Linked DNA regions of Rhinolophus ferrumequinum. The protein of the gene in region 4 interacts with the protein of the main gene of each other region in a biochemical or structural test. Links are inferred from orthologs where the notes say so. Each region holds a gene or a part of one and is shown on either strand. Other genes may lie near its edges.

Region 1 (7,061 bases), on a different chromosome or scaffold from region 4:
GCAGGGCATCTTTATGTACCTCTAAAGTCAACCTGACTCTGTTGCATATGGGAAGAATCAGGTAATTGGGTAATATTTGAGCACACACTGTCTCAACATGAATTAAATATCTGCAGGTGAATTATACAGGCTGGCATCTTTCTTTTGAAAAGCTCCATGCTCCTTGAGCAGAAAAACTAACTCTGAATTCAAAATGCCCAATGCTAAAAGGTTGACTAGAGAATTTTTTTTAATTAACCTAATTTTGAATGAGCTTAAATTAATGAATCAAAAGTGGTCAGTTATTACCATTCTCTGGGCCTAAATGAAGTTGTATAAAATGAGGGATGAGGTCTAGGAGGGAGAGGGAAAAGGACAGAGGAGGTCATGACCCCTCTCGGAGATGCTACCCCAGACCTGGGCTTGTAATGGAGAACCGAGCACCCCAGATCCCCCCACAACTGGTTCCATCAAACAGCCTATATGCTGTGGTTACCCAACATGTAATGCACTCACTACCTACATTAGGATCTCCTGGGACCTTTGTTGGAACCCATAGGCTGGGCCCACTCCAGGCCTATGGATTCAGATTCTCTGAGGATGATGCCCAGGAATTGACATTTTAACAAGCACCCCGAGATGTTTATGATTCATCCCAACGTTTGAGAACCGCTTTAGAAGCTCAGTAAAAATGTAAAGATCATGATGATTCTTCATATTTATTTCATGGGGATATAATTTTCTGTTTAGAGTTCTGAAAAATTTTAAATATTTATCCCAGTAACTTTAAAGGAGAGGCATTCCCACTTTCAAATGAGGGAAATCAAGTCTTGATATATACAGAGGGTGCCAAAAAAATGTACACACATTTTAAGAAAGGAAAAAACTGTATGAAAATTGTAATACAGATAGTCACGTTTGACTTCTGCAATTACAAGAGGTGCTCAAAGTGGTTACCGTCAGCGTCCAGACACTTCTGATTATGGCGAACTACTGCTATATACATAACATCTCTTAAAATGTGTATACATTTTTTGGCACCCTCTGTATATGACGTGCCCTCCCTTTACACACAGGCAGAAATCAACTGCCTTGCACCTAGGAAGAGAGCAGGAGGCAGTTACCAACTCACTGATTAGAGCATTTTTATACCATAAATCTAAGCCACTTGATTAACTCACCTTTGTATTCAATTCCTAGTTAATGTTCTCTTGTGGGGAAATGACATTTTTCTAAATTTATAACTTCAATATGTTCCTTCCTTACGAATAGACTTCCTGACTCAACTACTAATTACATGTTTGGGACACTCTTATTCTTCTTCTGTACAACACCCAGAAAAGGTAATTTTCTCGATAAATTACTTCCTTTTCTTATTCATCTTCACTGGTTAAAGCCAGTCCTCAAACCCACTCCCTTGTCTGCTAGCTTACCAATTAAAATTCTGGATATGGGAAATTGATTTTTAAAAAGAATCCTAAGAGTTTAACAGCTCCTTGTGATTAGGCAAACACCTCTAATCTTTCCTGTTAACAGTCTCTGTTCCTTTGCCTCTTGAGACATGCTCTGAGTGATAAGCGTTCCCTGAAACTTGAGGGTCAGGTACATAAGGCAACAATTCATCAGTCTCAGGGTTTATGCGAGTCTTCCCATTTGGGGGAGCTCTGAGAGTTCCATCACCTTGGAAACATAACAGCAGGCTCCCTGAGTGTGCACAGAGAGAATATTTTTTTTTAAGTACCATAAAAAAACAGGGGTTTAGTTATTCCCAAATGTAAGAGTCCTGATTCAAAACCGTCACTGACTCGGAAGAATCTTTAGTCAGGAATAGTATCTCCAAGCTGACAAGTCACAACACTTGTACTTTTGCTAACCAAACTGCTGGGGAAAAGCTCAAAAACATCCTATACCCAGCTTTACTTTTTCTTCTAAAAATGAGATGGCTTTTACTTGTCAAACTGGCCAGGACACTGCTGATAAAGTTACTATCGGTGTGTTATGGAATAGTAAATATTAGACATCAAGTTACCCATGTCGTTTATAGAAGTCTTGATTTTGGAAAAAAGGAAGTATAGAAGATACACTCATAGAAGACACGTTGAACCACAAAACGGAACTGCTTGTTTTGATGCAGAGGGCTATGGGTGTGTGGTGGGGCAGGGGATGGATAATATCTCTCTATTATCCTTTCTAGTATTACAAGTAGTCTGAATCATAAGTATATTGTCTGTTAAATTATCAGGTGAATGAATTCAGTTCTTTCCTTATTCCATGCACTGACAGGGCTAAAAAATATTGATCAAATGACCTCTCTTCCGTTATTTCTTTCACAATAAATGTACGTAGCGCCTAGCCTGGGTCAGGCACTCTGCCAGGGTCCGGAGATACGAAGATGAATGAAGTCATGTTCTGGTTTATTAATGATCTCTTTAAGATTCGCTAGGGTATAGCTTTGCTCCCCCTTCCACTGCAGCCTGAACGGCTGTCCAACCCATGGGACTCCAAGGCTCCCAGCTTCTGGGAACACGTTACTTCCTGGCCAGCTCACGAACCTAGCGCCAGAATTTTTCTGACATTCCCCAAAAGCCAAACACTCAAGTTCAACTCCGGAGCCGCGGCGCTCGCTGCCGCGCACGGAGCGAACTCCTGGCCCCGCAGCGCAGCTCAAGGGATGCCTGCCACCGGGATGCCTGCCACCTGTCTGCCCGCCGCTCGGGGTGCGCCCCGCCGCCCGACCGCTTACTTTGCCGCTCTCGCTCACGCCGAGGAGGTGATCCCGGAGCACCTCCATGGGGCAGGTCCAGGTGGAGTGGATGAACGTCCCTCGGAAGATGTGCGCCAGGGGCGGCATCGGGGCGGCACACATGTCAGCGGGCCGAGCCAGGCGCACTGGGAGGAGACGCGGAGAGGGTCACCGGGAAGCCGGAGACTGCAGAACTGCCACCGGCTCCAGCCTGGTCTTGTTTCCGCTTCCCTCAACGACCGCCTGCCCCCTGCAAGCCGCGCCCAGGGGCTGGCTCCCTGCTTCTCGACGCCAATAGAATTTCTCTCTCGGGAGTTGGCTCCGCGCTCCTGTGGGGTGTGGTGTTTCTCTCCTCCCCTGCGTTAGTTTTGATTGTGTGTTAACTCTTTGAGTTGCCAGTCACCGCTCACGTTGCGGTTCTTTTAACCCGTGGCGGCTGTCACCCACCCAGGGGGCGGGAGATGAAGGAAGAAACGGGAGGATTCAGGATCCCAGTCCTGTACCTTGAATAAGGCACTACATTTTCTTTTGCTCTCTACCCCCCAACCTCCTCCACCTTCCTTTAGTTGTCATACCTAGAATCACATCTGCCTGCTTTCTCTGCCCTTTAAACTCTTACGGCTATTTGTGGCCAAACCCTGGACTCTTCAACCTGTAGCACCCACAAGGCCTGAACTGACACAAGGTAAAGTGAAAGGTAACTTAGGGCTGCCAAACTTACTCACCAGTTTCATATTCAGCTTCTGGCGAGCTGCAGAATTTGTCCTCACCTGATGTTCTGGGAATGTGTCTTACAGAATTACTGGGGTGTATAGAGCATTAATAATGAACACAAAATGGACTCTAATAATTTTGATAGTTATGTCAGTCACAAAATGACAGTCATGCCAGAGCATTACCTGAAAGGTATATCCAGTGAACGTCTTAACCAGATAATTCCAGACTCGGGGTGAAGGGTGACCACCTGGACGGCTTTATCAGACTGCAGATGGGTGCACCACACCCAGTCTTGAGCCTAAACTCGAAGCTCTCTGACCGCTCATTGCTCAGGCCTCAACTGAGGAGCTGCCAGCCTCATCTGCACTCATTCCAGATGGAGGCCTGAAGCCCTGCCTCCTGACCGTCTCAGCAGCTGGGCTTCAAGCCTGCTGCTGCACACCGCAGGGCGGTAAGGACTTCTGCTGAACACCGGACTCTCTCTCATCCTTCTTTCAAACGACCCTGTTCACCTTACCTAACCCTATTGCTTGCAAACCTGTATGACCCTCTTACATGAAACCGCTCTACCTTGACTATTGGAGACTATCTTTTGGCGGGAGCCTTGGTTGATGCCTGTGGTAAACTGAGCCAATGGGACTAGATCCATGGTTTTATTTTAATGAAGCCTGACATTATGGAAAGACACAAACGTGTGTGAGACTGCTACTTTGTTAGCCATGTCCTGCCTGCTCACGACATGGGGACCCCACCATTGGAGGTTAATCTGGACCCCAAAGTTACTCTCTTTACATTGAGGCCAATATTTTGGCCTTTGTGTCCATCCACAAACAATTCCAACTTCAATTTTTCTCATACCTAAAATGAATGAATCTCTTTGATTTACTTCAGTGTACAAAGCAATTAAATACTCAAGCCAAGGAGGTGGGAATGGCAGTGTGGCGTGGCTTAGTGGAAAGGGTGCTGGATTAGGAACCAAGAGACCGTGGTCAATGCACATGGACCTCAGCAGTCTTATCATCCTCCTTTGTGAAAATGGAAGCTGGACTGGTTGCCAAGGAAACTGGTGGTTGCTAAGACTGCTTCTAGGTCAGCATTCATCCCTACCTGACATCCACAAAGTCCTTTACTGAGTTCCTCCGAGAAGACCAACTGGTTTCCAGTCAGGGCCTTTGCACATGCTGCTCCCCCTAATGCTCCCGTGGATCCTCATACGACCAGCTCTTCTTCCTACTGGTTTGCTTCAAATGTCAGCTCTTCAGAGTAACCTTCCCCCACCAACAAGCTAGTAGCACTCCCTCCCGAGGTTTCCATTCCATTAATCCGATTTCTGCCATTGCATTTATCATAGTCCATCCTCATGTATTTCATGTGTTTTTCATATATTTCTGCTTCCCTTCCCCAATACACACACACACACACACACACACACACACACCAAAGTACCACAAAAACAGAGGTCTTATGCCTTGAACAGTGCCTGATGTTTCATACATGTTTATTGAATAAATGAAGAAATGGTTTCAGGGGGAGCAGAGCAATAACCTGAGATAAATATCCATTTTTGGCTCCTACATAAAAAAATAAATGTTTCATTGCTGTGCATGAGCAGATTTTCTGATGCTTTTATGACACAGGGCTAGCTTATATAAATGATTCATTATTTTCTCAGTTCCTTCACTCCCTTCATGCCACTGTGTAGGGGGACCGACTCATGCCCATTTAGGGGGGTCTTTCCTGGTTTTAGCACTGAAAGTCTCAAAATCCAGGAAACTCCTCGGTCACAGGCACACCGTGTGGTTGACCACCCTGCCAAAGACCCAAAGGAGAAGACCTTAAAGCGAGAGCATTGCACTTGCCTCGTGGGGATGTTTGCCCTTCCTCAGTCACTTTCTCCTGATTCTGCAAACCACATTCCCTCCCTGCAGTCCCAACAGCCAGCACACTGAAAACATCCTCTTGACCTGTTTGTATATAGACACAAACCTCGGAAAGAAAAGTGCAGAAAATGTCTGCCTATTATGGTAAAAGAGAAGTCAATTAAATGCTTCTAAAAAGACAGATTGGTTCACTCAAACAGACGTAGCTAACTTTTTTTTTTAATGAAAGTCACCTAAATGGCCAACAATTGAGATTAGTTTAGAGAATTAGCATGTATCTCCTTAGTAGAATGTTAAGTAGTTACTAGAAACAATAAAGGAACTATGTAGCCTCACAGGAATTACATATAATAAAATATTGGGTTTTTTTTAAAATAGCATTTATCCTTGTTTAAAATCATGAAACGCCTATAAGGCATAATGGCTAGAATTAAAAAGGTAACACAAACAATGGCTATTGTCCAGTTGAGGTAATGGAACTGCTAAGGAATTTTGTTTGATGTTTACTGACAATGTTGCGTGTGGCTTATGGTGTGAGTAATTAATTGTGTAGTTCTAAATGAAGTTAATCTTAAAATAGAAGGAATGGCCATGGGCCTCCAGGTGACATGACATTCGCAAGCCTCAGGTAAAATGTTCACTCTCCCGGGTGAACAGTTTCGATTCCTTTCCCAGCCAAGTTGTAGGCTCCTCACTCAGGATCCAGTAGTCTCAGCTCAGCCACCATCAGGAAATCTTGGGTACCTGACCTACTCACACCTCTTCTCCACCCTCAGACTTGCAGTTTCGTTTGAATTGTTGGTCTTCCTGCAATTTTGATGCCCATCCTGATATCCCCAGGGAAATGTTCTCAAGGCTACTAAGGTTTGGAGGAAGAAAGGAGTGCAAAGCTTATACATTCACCTTTGAAACAGCCCAAGCACATCACAAAATCAGTTTCTGGTGAATATGGTTATTCTGACTAGGGCAAAGTAGAGAACAAATGGTATTTATTGTGCCTCTAAAGCCTCGAGGAAATAGCAGTTTCTATTCTTTAGCTCTTTCTATAGCCCATGTTTATATTCATGTAATATTAGAACTGAAAGCGCCTTAGAGATTATTATTCAATGTGCATTTCACTGCACTGCTCTAGTCTCACTATTCCCTGTCATTAACGGCTCCTTTCAAATCAGTTTCCCAAAAGGAAATCCAACAACGGTGTGCAATTTCAGTGCCTTACCCCCACATATCACTTCCTTCCAAAGAAAAGACTCTCCATGGTATGGATGCTTCCCGAAGCCCTAGCTGCTTCTTCAGGCTTTTCTTCCAGTCTCCCACATATTATGCATCAGGTTTGCTCACCGTCTTTCTGACTGCAGTGTTTTTATGCTACCTTGTAGCATGCCTGCCTCATTTCACTACCCACTCTCCCCTGGCTAAATCCTTCAGCTTAATTGTCCACTCCCACCCCGCTCCAGGAAATCTTTACACTTCCTGTCTCTCTCAGGTATTAAGGGCTCGTCCTCTGAGTTTGTAAGGTACTATAATTGTCTCCTCCAGAAGACTGTGGTTTTCTAAAGGACCACGTCCTCTTTTTTTCCTTTCTTTTTCTGTATCCCCTAACACACTGCCTGGACAACAGGAGCTCCTTGACAGACTTATATAAATGCTGAATTTCAAGAGATGGCTCTACTGCGTCTAGTTCAATGATTAAAAAATAAGAGGCAACAGTCAGTGTGTGCGCTAATAGTGAGTAATTCATT
Region 2 (6,998 bases), on a different chromosome or scaffold from region 4:
GTAAAGTTTTTAAAAAGCAAGCAAAACAGAAGGACTAATGATAGGATTATAGCAGTGTAAGTCATTGAAATTAGCAAGAAGGAAGACTTGAGGCATAGGGACACCCAAAATATGACAAAGTGTAACTGAAAATTATTTGGGATGCCCCCAGATCTATTGAGAATTCCTTCCTATGTGAAAACAAGAATACAGTATAGTACTGAAATGTAGCTGTTGGGCTAAGGAAGTTGCCCCCACACACCACAAGTGCAACTCAAATACCTCAGCCTAATTACAAAATACTACACATAACTGAAAAAAAACTAAAAAATGTTAAGATTAACATTTTACCATGAATGTAGAAAGAATGTAGAAATAGTAAACTATTCTCTATTGTTAAACATTTGTTGATTCTGGGGATGCTAACTATTCGGGTTCTCAGTTTCTTTGCAAATCAGGCAAAACAAAAAGATAATCATCATGGAAACAATTCATTTATTCGGGTCAGTCTCATGTAATAGACATCTCCTGCTTTTTTGACTGCTCAGCATCTTTGTTATTAAGGAACTGTCTCTTCTCCTACCTCATAAAGATTCTGGGAGAGCTGATAATCATATCTCCCCTACCACGTGGGGTTTGTCACCTGTCTCAAAGTCCCAAACAACAGATACAGCTTAGAACAGCTCTAGTCTAGAACACAGTTAAGCATGTAGAAACCAGCACACATACATTCCAAACGTCGCATTAGAGCCTTTGTATTATGCCATTCTAACATACTTACAGGTTGCCCTGCCCACAACATCAAATTCAGGAGCAAGGGTACGAGGCACAATGACAGCAGCAAGTAACAGTGAGGAAATAAAAAAAAATCTAAAAACATACATCATTAAAAAATCTAGTAGGCTTTGAAAAACAGTTTGGCAATTCCTTAAAAAGGTGAACGTAAGTTTACCAAGTGACCCAGCATTCCACTCCTAGGAATCTACCCTAGAGAAACAAAAACATGTCCACAGAAAGACCTGCATGTAAACGTTCCTAGCAGCATTATCTATAATAACCAAAATTGGAAACAATTCAAATCTCCAACCACTGGTAAATGGACTGACAAAATGTGGAATATTCATTTCACACAGTAGAATCCTCTTTAGCAATAAAAAGGAATGAAAATATTGATGCATGGATAACAGGAAAGACATGCAGATGCAAAAGATTACATATTGCATGATTCCATTTATATGATATCCAGAAATATAAATTTATAGAGATGGAAAGCAGATTAATGGCTGCCTAGGCCTGGGGGTGGGAGTGGGGACTGTCAACAAACTTGAGGTCATCTTTGGGGTGATGAAATGTTCTAACAGTGGACTGTGGTGATGGTTGCACAACTATAAATTTACTTATAATCACTGAATTGCACACTTACAATGGATGAATGTTATGATATGCAAATTACATCTCAAACTGTTAAAAAGTGCAGCCAGCTGATGTGGAAGCAAATAGTCTTAGGAGCTAGTGGACATCCTTTTATTTTTAGCAACTATTAATATTAACAAACAGTAATAATAATGACAGTCCTGGCTCAGTTTTTTGTTTATAGGCCCTAATGTAATTTAAAATGTTTTGAAAAACAGTCCACCCAAAAAGTTAAGTTACCTTAAAAGGAACAGGAACCCTCAGATCTGAGTTATAAAACAGCTAGCCTTGCTTGAGACTTTACCTTAAAACCCTGGATATTCATTCTACAAGTCATCAATTTTATTGGAAAAACAAAATTCAAAGAGTAAGACTGTCACTACTGGTACATCATAGGTCACGGTATTATCTTTCTACCAATGGATAGAGTCTGTTAAAAGGAAAATATTATACCCTTAAAAGGATCACTATATGTTTATATTCCAGCCATACAGGTGACATGTAATGTTCAATGGATTCTCCTAAGGCCCCAACGGGCAGAAACAGAATTATGCAAATGTTATTAAAATATTTATGTTTGCAAAGAGGAGCTCCTTGAAAGTGGCTATGTGAGTCAAAGTAATTGCTTCACTGATTAATATTACTAACACAAATCTTTCGAGACATACAGTGGAGGACGCATGGCAAATAGAACATTAAATTAGGAGTTTGGAAATACAGGACAAAATCTGCCCAGTATTTAGCCGTGACATTTCATTGAGCTTTAAAAAGCCTAATATACAAAAGAAGCTGTACTAATTAATTTCCATGGCCTCCTCTTTCAATACTAAAATGGATGAGTCAATGGTTTTCTATAATCGCAGCAACAAATTTTGCTGAATGCTTACTATGGACCAGGCACTACTCTAAGCACTTCAGATGCGTATATGAGTTATCTGCATTAACTCACAATCCTCACAGCGACTCTACAAGGCAGGTATTAGGACCACTCCCACTTCATAAATGGAGCTGGGGCCATGCATCACCTAACTTGTCGGTGACAGAACCAAGATTCACGTCAGGCAGTCGGGCTCCGGCATTGTTAACTGCTGGGTGTCTGTCAGAAGTCGCCGCGCTCGGGTGACAATCCCTCTCCCCCTACCCGACAGGCTCCTGGACAGGTTCAGCCTCCTCATTTGCATGTTTCGGAACCGCCCCCATCCCAGCCAGTACAGGCTGGCGCCGAGAGCCGGCCCCCCGCGGTCAGCCCGCGCTCCCCACTTGAGGGAGGTCGGAGGAGGAGGGTGACCGGCGCCTGTCCCCCTCCCGGGCCTCGGACCGCCTGCCTGGGTCCCCAGTCGCTGCTGCTCCCTGCGCTCACCTGCCGGCAGGCTCCGGGCGGGGGTTGTCCGGCGAAGGCCCCGCGGCGCCGCCCGCGCAGAGCTCGGAAGCCCGGCGGCTTCGCCTCCGCGGTTGGGGCTGCTTCTGGGCCGCCAGCTCGGGATCCATGGCGCGGAGGGGGGTGGGGCGGTGGCCGGGTGCCCGGGAGGCCCTCAGGGACGGGCACCGCGCCGGACCACTTCTGCTCGCAGAAAAGTTTCAGTCAGGAGCGCGCCGCCGCAGCCGCCGCCATCTTCCGGGGTTTGAAAATGGCGGCCGCGTTTCGACCAGCCAATCAGGGGACAACGGGCAGTTGCTAGGAAACGAGTCCCTCCCCTCTCTCTACCCTTCCTGTTGCTCAAGCAGAAGCAGGAAAGGAAGGATGGTTGGAGGGAATATCCCTGCAGATTAGTGAGTGGCCTTGGATTTAATTCTGACTCCATTCCTGAATCTTCAAGGCCTGATACCTCTCACTGTTACTAGGACTTTCACTGCAGGCCAGGGCACAAGAGAGGTTAAAAGTAATGACTTAAGATGAGGTTTGTTTATTGGCCACCTACCTGCTAAATTATTCATGTAAGATAAATCCCCAGTTACCAAAGGTAATGGAAATGTGTTTTCAGGGCTGTCTCTAGGAAACCAGTAAAATCTAATCATGAGCCCTTCTGTCTCCCAGTGCGGAAGAGACAGTCAGCAAAAGAGTAAAGAAGGCAGCAAAATGCACATCGAATAAGGACTTTCTCAAATAAAAAAAATGCTAAATAGTACATTCTTTGATTTTAAATATCGCTTTTTATGTATCCAAGGCTTTAAAAGTAACCTCTCCTTTGACACTATTCTATTCCTGGGATTCTATTCCTGGGAATCTGTCCTAGGAAATAAAATTATATGTGCAGTGAAGGGTGGCAGAATATGCCAGCCCCACATGTGCTACTTTGGCATTAGGATCATTTTGAACTACAGGCACTTAAAGAACACCAAGTGTGGGAAGGACACTCTGGCCTCCCGGTGTCTTCCTGAAAGCAGGAGCTAAAAGCCACGTGAAAGCTGCCCTCCCTATACCAGGAGGAAAGAAACATGTTTATCGGCAAAGATGGCGGGGAGTCAAGGGAGACCAAATTCTGTACAAACAGACCTTATTAAAATAACTCTTATCTTCCCTTGGTCTCTCCATCTACTTTAGTTACTTTTCCCCAATTACCTCTCTTCCTCTGTCTTAGTGTATAAGCACTTAGATTTTGCCACTTTGGGTCTTCATTTTCCTCTGGGGGCTCCCATGTTCATGTAAAATCTGTTTGCTTTTCCTTTGTTAATCTGTCATCTGTCATTTTAACTCTCATGCTGAGTTGGACACCCTGAGGGTAAACTTGTGTTTCCCCTACAAAGGGAAGCTATTGATGGCATTGTTATTTAATGGCATCAGAAAAAGTACAGACAATCTAAATAAACAGTGATAGGGAAATGGTTAATTATGGTTGATCCACTGGAAAGAATATTTTCAGCCAGTAAAAATTAACTATGAAGTGTGTTATAGAATAGTATATTGTAATTTTTAAATAAAACATGGAATATAGGGTGGCCAGTTAGCTCAGTTGGTTAGAGTGCAGTGCTCTTGACAACAAGGTTGCCCGTTCGATCCCTGCATGGGCCCTGTGAGCTGCGCCCTCCATAACTAGATTGAAACAACTACTTGATTTGGAGTTGATGGGTCCTGGAAAAACACACAAAATAAAAGTTTTTTAAAAAATGGAATATAAAGTTATATTTTGTGTATTCAGAGCTATGCATAAGAGACTTAACAAAGGAAACATATGAAATCAATGTATTAAAATGTCTCTAGGATATCAGACTTTGGGTATTAAATTTTTTAAAATTTCTTGTATTTATAATTTTTTTTACTGGTGAGGTACTGAACTCACATCACATTTATAACACAAGGGAAAACATGTTTTAGTTTTAAGGAGGGTAGGAAGTTAGGGAGTAAGATGCCCATAGTTAAGATCCACCTCTATTTTACCTTTTCCTACCACCCCCCAAAATTAAAGAAGAAAGTACTGCTTTGTTAGAGTAAAACAACACAGACATGCCACCTAGGGAGTTGATCTCTACCCAGACGGAGCTTTATAGGACGTACGCATTTAGATCATACCTTGTGAAATCTCCAACATTTGACCTTTTCAAAGCAGCAATTTCATCATTTCAACCTTATATTTTAGTGAGAGCTCCAGAATTTAGAGTCTGTCAGCTCTGCAGGTCCTGAAACTGGTTTTGATGGTATAATTAGAGATGGTCAGTTCTCTGGGAACTTTAATAATCAGTTCCCAAAGTGATAGATAATCCCGGATGTTGATGTGGGGATCCTCGGTGTGGAGAATCCCCACATCAACTGAGCGGGGATTCTCAGAATAATGCTGAGAACCTCTTTCCAATTTTCAGATACTTGGGAACTTACTATTATATTTTCTTCAATTATTCACAAGTGTTTATTGAACTCCTATTATAATACACCAGGCCCTGTGTTGGATACTAGAGAAAAAATTAATAGGAGGCAAATTTTAATCAGAGGTAAACTTTCTGGTGTTTGAACATCCCTGTCTCTATATGCAACATCTTACTCTGCCTAGAACTCTGCCCGAATATATGACAAATGTTCCCTGCATCTCCTCTTTTATCCAGCTCCATGCAAACCATCCACCTCTATTAACATATTCTTTGGGGCAAGGTTTGAGGGAATTGATTAAGTTTCAGCTTTCATATATATTATAAAAATCAGACTCTAGATTTCCCTCCCTGAGAAGATATTCCCATTGTCTTAATTGGACGTAAACATTACTCAAATTTCTTCAACCGTAGATTTACAAATATTGTATTGCGGGACATTCTCAAAGATCACTTCCAAAATCTTCGGCCATACTCAATGACAGCACTCATCATGTAGGTTGATATTAAACATATTCAACAACTAGTATACTAGTGTAAGTTAATATGTAAATCAATAATTCCAAAAATTATTCTCTTACATTATCTAAATAAGTCAAACTCTATTTTTGTAAAATTGCTTACCAAGTGATACATATGCTGGTTGTAGCAACCAGTAAGGTCACACAATATATACCAGCTGTTTCATAATGGGTTTTAGAGGGACAATGCTGGCAATTCACAGTTCTTCTCGTGAACTCCGTGTTTTTTTGTCTTCTGCCACTTGCAACAATCTGATTTACCACTCTACATCATAGATATTCAGTTCTTTCATCAGACTCCTGTTTTGCAGAAGAATCACAATTAGAAAAATGCTTCAAAGATATCGAAGCTATGATATCTTAAGCTGCCAATGGGAAGCTTCCTGTACGGTAAACTTATTTTATGAAAAAAACTTTTAATAATCTTACCTGTTAACCTGAAGAGTGTTTATAGGCATAATGGAGCAGAAAATTTGAAATCAGGTTTGCTATTTCTTAAAATCTATCGTGTGTGGTGGGGAGGGGAAATTGTTTCATTGTTTTGCATCTGTCAATCATCTATTTTCTCTAAAGGTTTGTTTTCAGATGTTCCAATGAGAGACACACAAAAAAATTAGAAACTGGAGTGTTTACTGTAGGTTTTAAGAAGAGATTAAAACTTGAGAAGAAAAATATGTGGCCAGAAAAAGCACTATTAATTAGAAGTCGATTGAGACTAATTTATGGTATGTTTACACTATCTTACAAAGAGGACAGTGAAGCGTTAAAATACTGAATTATGCTAGTAATGGGAGAGGAGGATGGGGAGGAAAAAGAGAGAAATGTGGGCATTGTGGGTGTGGGACTGACAATGGAAAATGATTTGGGTTGGGGCAGTCAGGGCTGCCAACAAAGAATTAGCAAAGATAACTTCTGAAGTGTCAGAACATCATTCGGAATTATTTCTCAGAGCTGAGGATTTCTTTTTTTTTTAACGAGATTTTCTTAGAAGATTTTCCTTTTCTCATTACCTTAGCCGGTAATTGGCTAGTCTATATTAAAAAAAGATTTAAGAAAGGACTTTTGAAATCCTAACCGTAGACACCAAACTTTAATGCTTGCAAGTTTTTTCACTCTTTTTCAGGACCTAAAGAGAGCCACCTTGTGTGTCAGTGAGGGTTCTATCAGAGAAGCAGAACACATACGCACACACACACACACACACACACACACACTTTTTTCCTTTAAGACTTTTTATGTATGTATATGTTGTTGACTGGACAAAATAATTCTCCAGGTAGTCCACCA
Region 3 (7,437 bases), about 120 Mb from region 4:
CGGGCATAATGATCACCATAACCAGGATACGCGTTGTTATTATTTCTAAACATTGATGAAAGCCCAACTATGCCCTGAGCACTGTTAGGCACTTTTACATAATAATCTCATGAGATAAATGGATTATTTCCATTTTGGAGTGAGAAGACTTAACAATAGAAGACAAAGCATTTCCCTCTCCTTTTGGTCCTTCGGTATCAGGCCTGTGGCTAGAGATACTCTTGTGTAATGTCATTAATTTCCATATGAGGAGTTGGTTGTCTTAACCTTTATATTGTACCTTTAATAAGTCATAGCTCTTCAGGTTTTAGACGTATAAAGAGAAAGTTCACAATCTGTTCACTTTTTTGGTTGTTGTTAACTACCATGAGGCATGAAGTGAGTGAAGAGATCACACAGCAAAGAGGATCCACCCTGCAGCCCAGAATGGCAAAAGCTCCAGGTCGGAAGTCCCTTTTGCATTCCCTCAAAACCATAGCAACTCTATTTCTGCTCTTGTTTTTCTTCTGAACCCAAACAATATTTATCCTCCAGGAATTATTTCTAAAAATAAAACAAGAAGAAACATGTCTCTACCTTTGGTTTCTAAATGTTACTTGTAACCTCCGATTTCGTTTAATTCCCCACTAGAAAACACTGTCCGTTTCGCTATCTTCAGGCTCCATGCAGTTAGAAAATGTATGCCCTCAATGCTTCATGTGCCCGTCCTGCCACTGGGGCGGGGAGATTCCCATAAAGGAAATATGGTGGAGTTCACTGCGGCTCAGCCCCGAGCTATGGACCATTACTTCTTGTAACGCTCTGCCTTTCATCAACTATCAAGCCAAGTCCAGCCCAAACAGTTGGGACGCTGGGACCCCACATCTGAGTTTTTCTCTTGTTTCACTGGCCACTCCTTTTCAGTGTCTTTTCCTATTTCTTCCTCCTCTTTCTGACCTCCACAGTTGGAGTCCTTGGGGACCATCCTCAGCCTTTTGTTGCCCCGCAACAAACAATTATCTGACCCCAAATGCCAATGGAAAGTTTGCCCTAAAAGATTTTATTCAATGCTATCATATACCCAGATTCAATCCACATGTTGATGACTCCCAAATTTCAATCTCTAGTCCTGCTTTTTCTCCCCACCCCAGGTTCTTATATGCAACTGTCTCCACTTATGTCTGTTAGGTGCCTCAAACTTCACTTGTTCACATGTTTGTGGGCAAGAGTTTGCTTGTGAACAAGTGAAGTTCGAGGCACCTAACAGTAAGTGGAGACACTTGCATATAAGAACCTGGAGTTGGGAGAAAAGGCAGGACTGGAGATTGAAATCTGGCACCATCCAAGGAATTGTCTCAGATTCGAATTCTGATTTTATGGAAATCATTCGATGCATGCATACTATGACTAGAATCAAAGAATGATGGAACTGTAGGGATCTATCTCTGGGAGATGAGAGGAAGACTCAGAAGCTTTTGAGATGGACCTAAATTTATACACTTCTTGTGATGGGAGAGCCAGAATGAGAACTATTGTTTGTTACAGCTTCAGGGCTGATACGTTTTCCTGTAGCTGACTTGGCTCCCTTACGTAAAATATGTAGCTCAGTTGCTTTCGCATCATTATTTTCCTAAGTCATTGTTAGATAGACAGTTTCCTATAGTACAGGGGTCAGCAAACTACAGCCCGCAGGCCAAACCGGGTCTGCCACCTGTTTTTGTACAGCCCATGAGAATGATTTTACCATTTTTAAACAGGAAAAAGTTCCGAAGAACAATAATAATTCATGACATGTGAAAAATATATTAAAAACAAATTTTAGTGTCTGTAAATAAAGTTTTATTGGAACATAGCCACACTCATTCATTTAGGTATTGTCTCTGCCTGCCTATGCACTACAGCGGCAGAACTGAATAGTCACAACATACACCATCTGGCTGGCAAACTGAAAATATTTACTATCTGGCCCCTTACAGAAAAAGTATAGTGACCCTGGTCTACTGACAAGAGCTCAAACATTAGATTTCAAGAAAAACAAACAAACAAACATGGATTTCAGTTTTCACTCATCTGACAGTGTGATCTTTGAGTACGATTCAATGTCTGTGAACCTGAAATTAAATGGGGATCATAAGACTTTCCCTGAAGGGTTGTCAGACGTGTTAGAAGCAATGCCTGTACAGGTTTAAAATATACTAGGAACTCAACAAATATCAGCAATGACAATAATAATACTTACTAATATTATCATTAACACAAACTTTACCTTCAAAATTTCCCCTTTGGTATGCATTGAGAGTTCCTGTGTCAAATGCCTTTTGAAATGCAGGCAAATACACGACGTAAAACAACTATCCTAGCCCCTTTCATCCATTAGTTGGGTGATGACAGAACAAATTCTCATCACATCATGTTTTGACAGCAGACTGCAAGGAGGTTAATATCTTTACAATTCACGTCATTGCACCCCATCATGAATTCCCTGAGTAATCAGTTTCCTGGAAAATTGTCTCCCGAGTGATAAAGTGACACTATCTGAAATAGGAAATTATCATATCCTGCCCAATCCTCTTTCCAACTTTCTTATCCCAAGAATGTCAGAAAATAAGTTCAGTTAACAGAAAACGGGGAGCCAACATTCAGTTAACAAATAGCAGATAGAAACAGTCCCCAGGCTACCAGAACCCTACTCCTTCAGATTTCCTGGAGGACACTTAGAGTGGCCATAGAGGCCGAGTTTAGCCTTGCGTTTTGAACAGCATCGCCACAGGCATCTAGGATCAGAGTTGGGAGTATGCCTGACACTCACCTTGACCTCAGCCCTGTCCACCTCCTGTCCTTCAGAAGATTCTGCCATCCCTGGTGGCTTCTTGGCATCAGACATGCCTCCTGGCTTCCATCTCATTCCTGGAGTGCAAAAGAGGTCAATTCTAGCCCTTTTTCTTTGTGTGACCCCATCCTCTCCCCTTCTTGCATCCCGCCATTTTCTCCTGTTCTCTAGTCAGTTTGGGCTTAGCAGAGTTACTTGCAGCCTCCTCAGACTTCCTCTTCCCGCTTCACTCCCCTTTCTATGGCACTTTCTGGGATGATCCACATCTCTCACGAGTGACAAGACGTCATCTTGCTAATTAACATATGGCCTAATTATGGCGGTGTTACACTTTAGAAGACAGAATTAAAATCTGGAATGACCCAAGTAATTAGGAGGAGCAGGCAGAGACAAATGAAAGCAGCAGTGACAAAGTGAGGGTGGGCAATGACTTGGGCACGTCCTCTGAGGCTGAAAACAACTGGCCTCTACTCAGGTGCATGGACACCTGGGGATTGACTCCAAGCAGGCTGCTAATGTCACAAGGGAGTATCCTATGTAGGGCAAGAGGGGATTTTCTTTCCTCACCCTCCTCTTTATCCTCTCCTCCAGCACCCGTGGTGAGAGCAAATGAATCAGAAAAATTCATGCCCACAGAGTTGAATTTTCACAGGGTGTTGCAGAAGACCCGGGACAGTGGGGAGGGGTGCAGTGTGATAGCTTTTTTTTTTTTTTTGCACTTTCTTTTGATACTATTTTTTATTTATTTTTAATTATAATTGATATACGTGTGATAGTTTAACTGCCGTGCTGAGGTGGACACTAGAAAGTGGTTCCTACTCTGCTAGCATTTTGGCCTGGGATTAGAAAAATAAGGACATCATGTGCACATTGGTTGGGTTCCCCCAGAAGTGGACTTTGGGTCAAGAATGTGAGTACAAGGTGTTCATTTGGGAGATCTAGGAAACCCTGGCAAGGAATGAGAAAATGTGACAGGGAGGGGAAAGAACGTGATAGAAGGTATGTCAGCAAGCACGTTATCACTGTGAGCCACTGGAGCTCAATCCAGCTGGGGAGACAGAGCAGAACAGGGGTCAGCCAATTTTTCCCATAATGGGTGAGATAGTGGATGTTTCCCGCTTAGTGGGACAAATGATCTCTGTCACAACTACTCAACTCTGCCTCTGTAATGTAAAAGCAGCCATAGATAGTACAGAAATAAATGGGTATGGCTGTGTGCCGATAAAACTTTATTTGCAAAACCAGGCAGCCAGTCCAAGTGCTGTCGTTTGTCAGCCTCTTGCTGTAGAATAGTGTCTCTCAAACTTCTGTGGTGAAAAACAAAATGTTTAAAAATGTCCAAAACAAGACCTTTGTAAATACAACAACAATGAATCACTAGAAAACATGAAATAAAAAACACATTCAAAATACAAGTCTTTCAAAAAATTATTAGAATGAAAAGACACGCAATGTCTCTAATTGCTGTAAGTTTCTAAATACTCTGAAATTGTACGACTTTTCATGGTCTTATTGGCCATCTACCTATAAACTTTTGTGAAGTGTATTTTCAAGTCCCATTTAAAAAACATAGTTTCTCAGAGAATTGCTTGGTGGTGTAGCCAACCCCCGTCTCCCTCCCCCTCCCCAGGAACTGGGTACCAGAATGGTTAGATGCCCTTTAGACAATCAAATAGCAACATCATAAGTTTGAGCCTGCGGGGGCTGCAGAAAAGTCTAGGCTGGAATAATAAATTTGCAAGTCATCAGCATACAGATAGTATCCAAAACCATGAGATTGGATAAAGTCTCTGATCTGACGGGGTAAGGGTAGAGAAAGGAGCCCAGGAGGGAGGCCTAGCAGCTTCCAGCCACCCACAGGGTGGTATTATCCCTGTAGAAAGTTTGTGTAAGATGAAACATTGGTGGTTTCACAGACAAGATGGAGTTTGAAAAGCCTTTGGGGCTCCGGGAGAGAGGCAAGGGCAGAATGAGCTCTAGCTCCAACACAGAACAGTCTGGTTTTTATCAGTTTCAACACTTAAGCTTTATTTCCAGAAGAAACGATAAGGCTTGGGGTATTCACTGCTAAGTGTATTTGCTACCTGGATCTAAGTGAAAGGACCCTACGCCCCCTTTACCATTTCTATAGAAACGAAGCCACTACTGTATGCCTATGGTAGACATTGTTTACTTTCAAGTAAGCAACAATATTTTCATTATACAAAGCTTTGAATGCATGCAATCCTCTATGACAAGATTTCTGATAAATTATATTGCTTTTGAAAAAATTGGGCTTTATTGTAAAATATTTTGGTTCCAAATGACCTAATAGTCAAGAATCTGCCAAATATTATTGTGATGATTAAATTTTATGCGTCAACTTGTCTAGGCTACGGTTGCTTGGTTGGTCAAATACTAACTTAGTGAAGGTATTCTGTAGATGGTATTAACATCTACAATCAGTTGTCTTTAAGTAAAGGAGATTACACTCTGTACTGTGGGTGGGTCTTATCCAATCAGTTGAAGGCCTTAAGAGCAAAAACTGAGGTTTCCTGGAGCATAAGGAATTCTGCCTTAAGACTGTTAACAGAGAAATCTTGCCTGAATTTCTAGACTGGTGGCTTACCCTATACACTTAGAACTTAAGACTACAACATCAACTCCTGCCTGAGTTTCCAGCCTGCCAGACTGCCCTACAGATTTCAGACTTGCCAGGCCCCACAATTTTGTGGGGCAAGTCCTTAGAATAAATTTCTTTTGTGTGTGTGTGGGGGCGAGTGTGGGTGTGTGTACACACACACACATATATGCAAATATATCCTATTGGTTCTGTGTCTCTAGAGAACTTTGACTGATAAAGCTATTTATTCACAGATTTCATGTAGGTAAACATTAATAAGAAAACTATATTGAATGGTCAAGAAGCATCCTTGGTGCTCCTCTAATGACGTGTACTACCCCAGGACACCAGAGGTGCCTTCAGATGTTTGATGAATGGAAAAAAGAGGAAGGGAGGGAAACATTTCCATCTGCCAACTGAACTTTCCTGCAGTTTCTGCTTGGAAATCAAGATGGAGATGATCTGTAACTGGTGGCCTTGATGCTGACACAGACCACCCTCAGCACCTCTTGGACAGTTCACCGCGTGCCACTCAGAAAAGAAAAAGGCTGATGAGTTGTTCTTTATAGACACTGAGGGTAGACATTTCCAAAACCATAGTGACTTCTAGAAACAATATGCCATTGATAAGAAATTACTTCGAATTGCAAAATGCATCTGTGTCAAAGAAATGGATGTAGAAGACCGCACATTCTTTTGTTAGCAAAACTGAATTCAGCCAGATACACTTTCCCATGTTATTACAAAGCGAGTTCTATAATAATTAGCAACAGACTGAAAGACAGCTGATTTTCTAAATCACTTGCTTACCGATACAGGATTGCAACTCAATAGGACACTCTGAATAACTTATTTTTAGGACATATGTTTTGCATGCCATTATTTTCACAAAGAGATGTTTTGTGAAACAAATTGTTCATGTCTCTGACAGATTTTTATGTAAGAAGTAAATAGAAATACCTTCATAAGATCATAGGCCTAAATGTAAATGCAAAAACCCTAACATTTCTTGAGAAAAATCATAGGAAAATATCTTCTTGATGTTGTCGTAATCAAAGATTTTGTTAAACGTGACCCATAAAGCATTAACAATAAAATAAAAAGTGATACACTGCATTTCATCAAAATGAAAAGCTTCTGCTCACCAAAAGACACCATTAGGAAATGAAAAGGCAAACCACAGGCTGTGATCAGATTTGTAATACACAACCCATGACAAAGTACGCGAATCCGGATGCTAAATAGAACTGCTACAATCAACAATAAAAAAGACAAACAACTATGGTTTTGAAATGGGCCTTGAAAATAACACTTCACAAAAGAAGATTATAGATAGATGGCCAATAAGCACATGAAAAGATACTCAGTGTCATTAGTGATCAAGAAATGCAAATTAAAACAATGAGATGCTACTATAAACCCAGTTAGTTTAAATGGAAAGGTTAGCATTAACAAGTGGTAGCCAGGATACAGAGCAACAGGATGCTTATACACTGTTGGTGGGGATATAAATGGTGTGACATATTTGGAAGAGTTTGACACTTTCTCATATACTTTCCATAGTCTTACTTATAGGTATTTCGCTCCTTGGATGGTTACCCAGTGGAGATGAAAACATATGTCTACACAAAGACTTGCATATAAATGTTCACAGGAACTTTATTCATGGTAGCCAAAAACTAGAAACACCCAAATGTCCATCAAAAAGTGAGTGCATAATCAAATTGTGGTATATTCAAACAACGTTATATTACTCAGCAATATAAAGGAACGGACTACTGATAACATGCAATGACATGAATGAATCTCAAAATCAGTACGTGGAGTGATCAGTACGTTGGCCTGGGGTTGGTGGTGGAAGAATCAGAGGTAGATCTGACTAGAAAGGGACATGAGAGATCTTTCTGGGGAGACAGAAATGTTCCATATCTTGATAGAGGCGATGGGTACGTGGATGTATTGCTTTGTTAAAACTCACTGAACTGTGCACTTAAGGTCTTTGCTTTTTACTTCCTGTACATTATGC
Region 4 (7,459 bases):
GGACAGGAGCAGAGTAGACAAGATTCCCCACGAGGGAGGAGCTGATGCCCGTGGACTGACGGGCAGCAGAGTCCATGGCCTTCAACATCTAGTAGCCATGGGAAGAGATGCAAGGGAAGGGGTCAGAATGCAGGGTTACTCTGACCAGCCCACAGAGGTGGCCTCCCAGACAAGATATACTTGTGGCCACTGTCATACTTCTGGACAGACAAGTAGCACCTGCTCCCTGACTCCCACTCTCATCATCCCCACGAATGGAGAAGCCCTCTTGCCTCTCTCCCCAGGTAACCTGGCACCCATCCCACATCTTTCTCTGGCTGAGTTGCCCCTTTCCTGACCCCAGGTCTCCTTTGAAGAGCAGAGCTGGGAATCCAGGATGAGGGCTCCTCCAAATGCCCTGCTCTGCTTTCCTCCTCCCACACAGCTTTGGCTTCCAGAGGCAGAAAGGTGGAGAGGGGGAGAGGGCTGGCTAGTCATGCCTCCACCTTTCCTGGGTCTGGTCATGGAACTTTATGCCGTGCAGCCCTAGGAGTTGGGGGGAGGACTCCAGCTGCAGCCCCACTCTGGTCCCTGATCCCAGGAGGAAGAACTGATGACTCTTCAGAGTCCCCAAACCGACACAGCTGCCTGAAATACCATGTGAAAGAAACACAGGCAAAAGGACACTCATGCAGCTCTTGCATGCATCTGGGGTACCATGTGTACCCACATGTGATAAGCCATGCTTCAAGCCCAGTACCACTGACATCCAGAGGATCCAGCTGCCACTGGTCCACCCTCCCACTGCCCCCCTCAGGGACCCTGCTCCCAGGACCAGGAGCCATCCAGGGATCAGCCCTGGCAGACAAACCTTGGCCAACTGGTCCAGCCTTGGAACTGTCACTCATCTCTCAGTTGATCGGGACAAGCATGAGAGAGTGTTTGCAAGGGTAGTGCCCCATGATAGAGAGGAAAAGGAGACACGGGGACTCGCTGCAGAGGGCAAGGGGCCAAGGCAAGGGACACGGGATGCAGTCAGTGTAGACAGACAGAAGACCAGAACCCAGGACCCCTCTCTGCAGGAAGTCCTCACCTTTGCTTCTGAGTGAGAGCACATCCTATCCCCAGAGGAGGACAGAGGCAGCCAGAATGGTCACCAGCTTGGGGCCATCAGCACCTGCCCTCAACAGCAAACCCTCCTTCTCTCCCCCTACCCTGGGTGCTGCAGAGCTGAATAACCAGACAGGCCCTCCGCCATGCGTGCCAGGGACCTGGCTCTGCCGGCCCAGCCTCCATTTTGCTGCTTCTCCCACAGATGCTTCTTCCATTTTCTAAGCTGGCAGTTTAGGCTGGGAGTGGAAGCCAGAGTTGTGCCCAGCACCCAGGGGTTCCCAAGCTGTGCCAAGTCAGGCCTGGGGGGCCAAGCTCTTCCACATCTGGGGGGACCCAAGGGGCACATGCCCCACTGGGGCCAGTCCCTGCACCAGGGCACCATGCCTGCTCTGGAGCGAGGAAGCTGGCTTCAACCCCCCCCCCCCCCAGCACACACTTCAGAGCTGCTTGGACAAAAGAGTCCGTCCTCAGTCTCTCAGCCTTGCTTGGGACGTGTCTCTCTCCTCCTCCCCCTCCCCTCTGTTGCCTGTCAAGAGCCTCTAACCAGGGACACCACACACACACACACACACACACACACACACACACACACAGGCACATGCTCACACACATACATGGAGCCACACACACAGGCACACAGAGACACCTCCACCTTCAGAGACACGGCCTCACACCGTCCATGTGCCCATTCACACACAAAGGGACTGGGACGGAGAGGGACTCCTGGCAGGGAGGGAGGACGCTCAGGGAGCCTGGCACATGGGCTCTACATAGATTCAAAGGAGCACCATTGCCTTCCTCCACACACCTCAACGCACACGTCCCCCTACGCAGAACACCGTGCCCCCTCCTCCCCTGCCGTGGAGACACACCACACACAGCCCCCGCAGAACCTCCCGCCCCCTGCCAGACACAGAGACACTGCTAAACCCCCACACTGAGACAGCCCAATTCCCCCGCACAGGAAAATGTGCCCCTCCGCCATACCTTCACCCCCTGACACAGACAGTTCCTCCCAACCCCCTCCAAATGGAGACCCCCAAACAGACACACACAAGGAAGCACACATTTCCCACCGCCTCTCCTGGTCCGGCTTGCAGCCCCAGGAAGCCCTACTGCACCCCAGGCCTCTCGGCCCCCACTCCCCAGCCCCTTGGGGTTGCCCCAACGACCCCCCCAGCTCCGCTGATCCATACCTGCTCATACCAGTCTCGGTTGGTACAGGTGCACTCTGGCCACCAACTGGGGCCGCTGCCGTTGAGTTTGGGGGTGCTCTTGCCCGGGACTGGCTTAGGGGGCACTGGCCCCACATCGCGGCCGGTGGGGATGAGCTTGGCCTTGGTGCGGGGGGTAGGGGTGGCCCCCGCCTGCGAGGGCAGGGTCTGCGAGCTGTAGCCCCCATAAACTGTGCTGGCTCCATTGCCTCCACCTGGCCCGTAGGGGTCGGGCACCTGCCAGTCCCCGTAGCCGGGAGGCTCCAGGCGCCGCAGGGCGGCCAGGCGGGTCACCTCGTAGCACTCGGGGCACTTACAGCAGTGCTGGTGCTTGTGCATAGCACTGCCCCCCGCGGCCCGGACCCCCCAGCCCACGCCGCTTTCCACGCCGCCGCCGCCGCCGGCGCCGGGCTCCCGGGCACACTCACACTGCTCGGACCAGGAAGGGGGGGGGACCCGTGGGGGCGCCCGGGCGGACCGGGGCCTGGGGCCGGGCGGGCGTCCTGGGGCCTCTGCCCCAACGCTGCCCCGCACCCACGGCTCCCCCTCCAGCACTGGCGGCTCCGTGTCGCCCGTAATGGCTTCTGGGCCGAGGCCCAGCGGCAAACAAGAAGCGGGAGTCTGGGCAGAGGATGGGTGCTGCGAGGACCGCTCCTGCACTGGTCCCCAGGATGGATCTGAGTGGAGTCAAGAGCATCTCTCCCTGGCTCCCGTCTCAGTTGATTCCAGCCAATCAGCGTGCAGAGTCGGGCAGCGGCAGCGGCAGCGGTAGGAATGCTAAACAGCGGCTCCTTAAAGGAACAGGGGCAGTGGATCCCCAGGCTCAGCCCCAACCCCCCAGATGGCTGAGGTACCGCTGACCCTAGGGCGGTCGCATGGGACTTGGGCCACGCGTGAACTCAGTCCCCAATCTCGTGTCCTCATACCCCCAATTTCAGCGCATCCTCCGCCCACTCCACCCCACCCCACTTCCCAGAGGGAGTTGCAGGGGGACGCTCAGTGGGTCCCCGGGCGTGCTCTGAGCTGGGGCCACCAGAAGTAAAGATTTGAGGCAGCACAACGGACGAAGGGACGGTGGGGAAGTGCTCTCTCCTAACAGGGGATAAGGGAAGAGGGCGGCTTACGAGGCTGCTCTCCTGTCGGGGGCCCCCTCCTCAGGACTATTGTTCTCTCAACCTCTAGGCCCTGAAATGCTGTCAGCCTCCCACTCGACCTGCTTCCATCACCAGTGAAGGACTTAAGCCTAGGACCGGAGGGAAGGAAAGCTCTAGGCTCTTGTCCCTGGCCCACAGACTCCTGTCTCCCCCCAGCCCCACTCCCGCACAGTTAGGTTGAAGGAAAGCGCTTCAGGATGCCAAGAGGAAAGAGAGACCAGGGCAGGAGGAAAAAGGCAGGAAGAGGTCTGAAGTAAGAGGAACCATTCCTGGGGTCTGCAGAAGAACTTGGGATACTTGCCCAAGGACATCCCCTTAGCTGCTCCTGGCTCAGCCTGCTGGGGGATGGAAGGAGGATGGCATGCTGGGAGGATTCTATCTTTTTGCTCTTCTTTTTTTTTTTTTAACTACAGTTGACATACAATATTATATTGGTTTCAGATGTACAGCATAGTGGTTAGACATTTCTGACTACAAAGTGATCCCCCCGATTAGTACTCACCTGGCACCATACATACTTATTACAACATCATTGACTATGTTCCCTATGCTGTACTTTACGTCCCCGTGACTACTTTGTAACTACCAATTTGTACTTCTTAATCCCTTCACCTTTTCTACCCAGCCCCCCAACTCCCTCCCATCTGGTAACCATCAGTTTCCTCTGTGTTTCTGTGAGTTTTGCTGTCCTTGTTTTGTCATCAGCTACCAATTATTGAGTCTTTACAAAGTCCTAAATGCTTTGCATGCAGACAAAAACCCTACCAAGGTGCCACTATTATTACCCTATTTTTACCAACGAGAAATCGAGGCTCAGAGCTGTTAACACAGCTAGGTACCACAGCAGGAGGTGACAGAATCAGGATGCAAATCCTGGCCATTTGCCTCCAGAGTCCATGCTCTGAACCACTTCAGTACAACAGAACTTAGATCTCACTTCAGTTCAACAATCATTGCACACCTACTCTGTGCAAGACCTTGACCTAGGTCCTAGGGATACAGAAATTCATTCTTAATTCAACAAATATTCATTGAGCACCTGTTATGTGCCAGAAACTGTTCTAGGATTTGGGGATATTGCAGAAAACAGAACAAAACACAACAAATCCCTGCCCTTGGGGAGCTTACATTCTAGTGAGAGAACACAGACAAAACTGAGCACAATAAATAAATGAATCACACAGTATATATGATGAGAAGTGCTGCGGAAAAAAAGAAAAAAGTAGAGTCAACAACTGGTAAATGTCTTGTTATATTTGCTCTATCGATCGACCTACACTTCTTTCTGAACCATTCAAATGTAAGTTCCAGATTTCATTTCACTTCTCTAAATACTTCAGCATGCATCTTGTTGGAATGAAGACATTCTCCTACATAACCACAATATTATTATGACATCAAAGAAAATAAGCAATATTTCATATCACCTAATATCATCTAATATCCAGTTCTATATTCAAATTTCCCCCAATTTGCCTTTTATATTTTTTAACATCACAAACTAATCAAGGTTCTCAAATTACATTTGTGTCTTTAGCTACTTTTAATCTAAGCAGCCTCAATCTTAAAAAACAAATACTTTTTATTTAAAAATAATTATAGATTTACAAGGAAGTTGCATAGATAGTACAGAGGGGGCCTGTATACCCTTCACCCAGCTTCCCTCAATGATTGCATCTTCCATAATTATTGTACAAAATCAAAATCAGGAAATTGACATCGGTTCGATGTGTGTATAGTACTATGCCATTTTACCACATATGGAGATTTCTGTAACAACCATCGCAATCAAGATACAGAACCATTTTATCACCACCAAGATCTACTTGTGTCATTTCATCAAGTTGAGGAAAGAAGAAACTTGACCTCCCTTTAAGTCTCTTTCCTCTGTCCCATTTATAGTATGATTATCTTCAATATTTCCACTACATGTATTGAACTCCACATCAATGGTGTTATACTTATTGCTTCAATCATCAAACATAATTTAGACAGCTCAAGAGGAAAAGGAAAGTCTATGTGCTTACAGTTTAATTCATTCTATTATTTCTTCCCTCCTGATGTTCTAAGATTTCTACTTTGATAGCTCCTTTCTGTTTTGAAAACTGCTTTTAACCGTTTTTTTTTAGGGTGGATCTGCTGGCAATATATTCTCTTAGCTTTCCTTTGTTTGAGGATATCTTGATTTCCCTCTCATTTCCGAGGCTATATTCACTAGATATAGCATTCAAGGTTGGCAGTTCTTTTCTTTCAACACTTGAAATAAATTGTGCCACTTCCTTCTGGCCTCCATGGTTTCCGATGAGAAATCCACTGATATTTGAATTGTTTTTCTCCTGTAGGTAAGGTGTTGTTTCTTTCTTGCTGCTTTCAAGATTTTCTGTTTGTCTTGTTTTCAAACGTTTGATTGTAATGTGTCTTGGCATGGATTTCTTTGAAATTATCCTATTTGGGATAATTTCAGCTTCTTGAATCTGTAGGTTTATGTTTTTTGCCAAATTAGGGAAATTTTCAGCCATTGTTTCTTGAGGACTTTTTCATCCCCACCCTCTTTCTCTTCTCCTGGGACTCTGATGACACAAATGTTAGGTCTTTTGTTATAGTCCCACATGTCTGAGGCTCTGTGTTTTTTTTGTTGTTTGTTTGTTTTTTAAGTCTATTTTCCCACTATTCAGATTGGGTAATTTCTAATGTTCTATTTTCAAGTTCTCTGATTCTTTCCTCCGTCCTCTTCCACCCTGCTGGTGAGTCCATCCACTGAATTTTTTAGTTCGGTTATGGCATTCATCTGTTCTAAAATTTCTATTTGATTCTTCATGATATCTCCTATTTCTTTGCTAAGACTTCCTATTTTTTTTTTTTTTTTTTCAACCTGTGTGTAACTGCTCACTGAAGCACAACGTTTCTTTTTAACGTTGACCACTTTAGAATCCTTTTCAGATCATTGAAAGCTCTCTGTCATCTTGGTGTTGGAATCTGTTATTTCTCATTCAGTTGAGAGTCTCCTGGTTCCTCGTATGAAGAGAGATTTTTTATTGCATCCTAGACATTTTTGGCTATTATATTATAAAATTCTGGAACTTATTTAAATCTTTGTTTTTGGTAGACTTCTTCTGACACTGTAGCCATCAGTGGAAGGGCCACTGCCAGGTAGGGACAGAATTTCAAGTTCTCCCCTCCATGTCAGTTGATACCTCAAATGGGGGCTCTTCCTTACTGCTGGGCAGGGTGGGAGTTCCAGCTCTCCACCGATACGTGGGAGAGGTTGAGGTACCTCCTTCCTGATCCCCAGGTGGCTTCCACTGACCATGGGTGGGGGCGAGGGTGATTAAGGAGTAGGGGAGGGAGGGGAGGAGGGAGAGGGCAGGGACAAAAGTCCTGACTCTTCACTAGGCCTCCTCTGACACCACCCAGTGGGGAGGGGAGGCCTTGTTGCTCTGTGGGGATGGAAGCCCAGGCTCCCTATTAGACCTTCTCTGACACCACCCCAGAGAACATGGGGGAGCTTGATGAAAGTCTGAATTTCTACTTGGCCTTTGCTGGTGTGTGTAGGGATGCAGTTTTTTCTGTGATGTTTGGTTGCAGTAGAGTGGTTATTATCTAACAGTTTTCTCTCTGGCTACGCTGTCCATTTCCTGGTCTTTTGGCTAGAGAGAGCAGGCTTTTATTGAGGCTTTTTTTGGTTGGTGCCCACAGGATTTCCAGGCTGCTCACTTTTCTGGAACCCAGTCTGGGACATAGGAGACAACAAGAAAATGCAGGGAACTCACCACCGTGAGTTCAGGTCACTGGAGTTCCTAGTCAGTCTGCTGTTTTCTTTTTCTTTTTTAAAATTTTTATTGGGAATATTGGGAAACAGTGTGTTTCTCTAGGGCCCATCACCTCCAAGTTGTTGTCCTTCAATCTAGTTGTGGAGGGCGCAGCTCAGCTCCAAGTCCAGTCGCCATTTTCAATCTTTAGTTGCAAGGGGCGCAGCCCACCATCCCATGCGGGAATTGA

Evidence for each region.
Region 1: the proteins of DLG3 (region 4) and GDA form a complex in vitro, tested with the Homo sapiens proteins (2 studies listed by BioGRID and IntAct, with this or other methods). The link is inferred for Rhinolophus ferrumequinum from reciprocal best matches to the Homo sapiens genes DLG3 and GDA.
Region 2: the proteins of DLG3 (region 4) and NET1 interact in a test that uses a peptide from one of them, tested with the Homo sapiens proteins (2 studies listed by IntAct, with this or other methods). The link is inferred for Rhinolophus ferrumequinum from reciprocal best matches to the Homo sapiens genes DLG3 and NET1.
Region 3: the proteins of DLG3 (region 4) and FRMPD4 interact in a test that uses a peptide from one of them, tested with the Homo sapiens proteins (2 studies listed by IntAct, with this or other methods). The link is inferred for Rhinolophus ferrumequinum from reciprocal best matches to the Homo sapiens genes DLG3 and FRMPD4.

Annotation. Positions count from the first base shown.
Region 1 is NC_046295.1:38,297,138-38,304,198, reverse strand, and holds the start of GDA (guanine deaminase), read right to left. Parts: upstream 3,025-7,061; 5' UTR 2,846-3,024; coding exon 2,723-2,845; intron 1-2,722. UniProt on the Homo sapiens protein: Catalyzes the hydrolytic deamination of guanine, producing xanthine and ammonia.
Region 2 is NW_022680355.1:11,537,882-11,544,879, reverse strand, and holds the start of NET1 (neuroepithelial cell-transforming gene 1 protein), read right to left. Parts: upstream 3,017-6,998; 5' UTR 2,881-3,016; coding exon 2,753-2,880; intron 1-2,752. UniProt on the Homo sapiens protein: Acts as a guanine nucleotide exchange factor (GEF) for RhoA GTPase. May be involved in activation of the SAPK/JNK pathway Stimulates genotoxic stress-induced RHOB activity in breast cancer cells leading to their cell death.
Region 3 is NC_046284.1:117,977,040-117,984,476, forward strand, and holds the start of FRMPD4 (FERM and PDZ domain-containing protein 4), read right to left. Parts: upstream 3,018-7,437; 5' UTR 2,789-3,017; intron 1-2,788. UniProt on the Homo sapiens protein: Positive regulator of dendritic spine morphogenesis and density. Required for the maintenance of excitatory synaptic transmission. Binds phosphatidylinositol 4,5-bisphosphate.
Region 4 is NC_046284.1:2,238,716-2,246,174, forward strand, and holds the start of DLG3 (disks large homolog 3), read right to left. Parts: upstream 3,002-7,459; 5' UTR 2,646-3,001; coding exon 2,289-2,645; intron 1-2,288. UniProt on the Homo sapiens protein: Required for learning most likely through its role in synaptic plasticity following NMDA receptor signaling.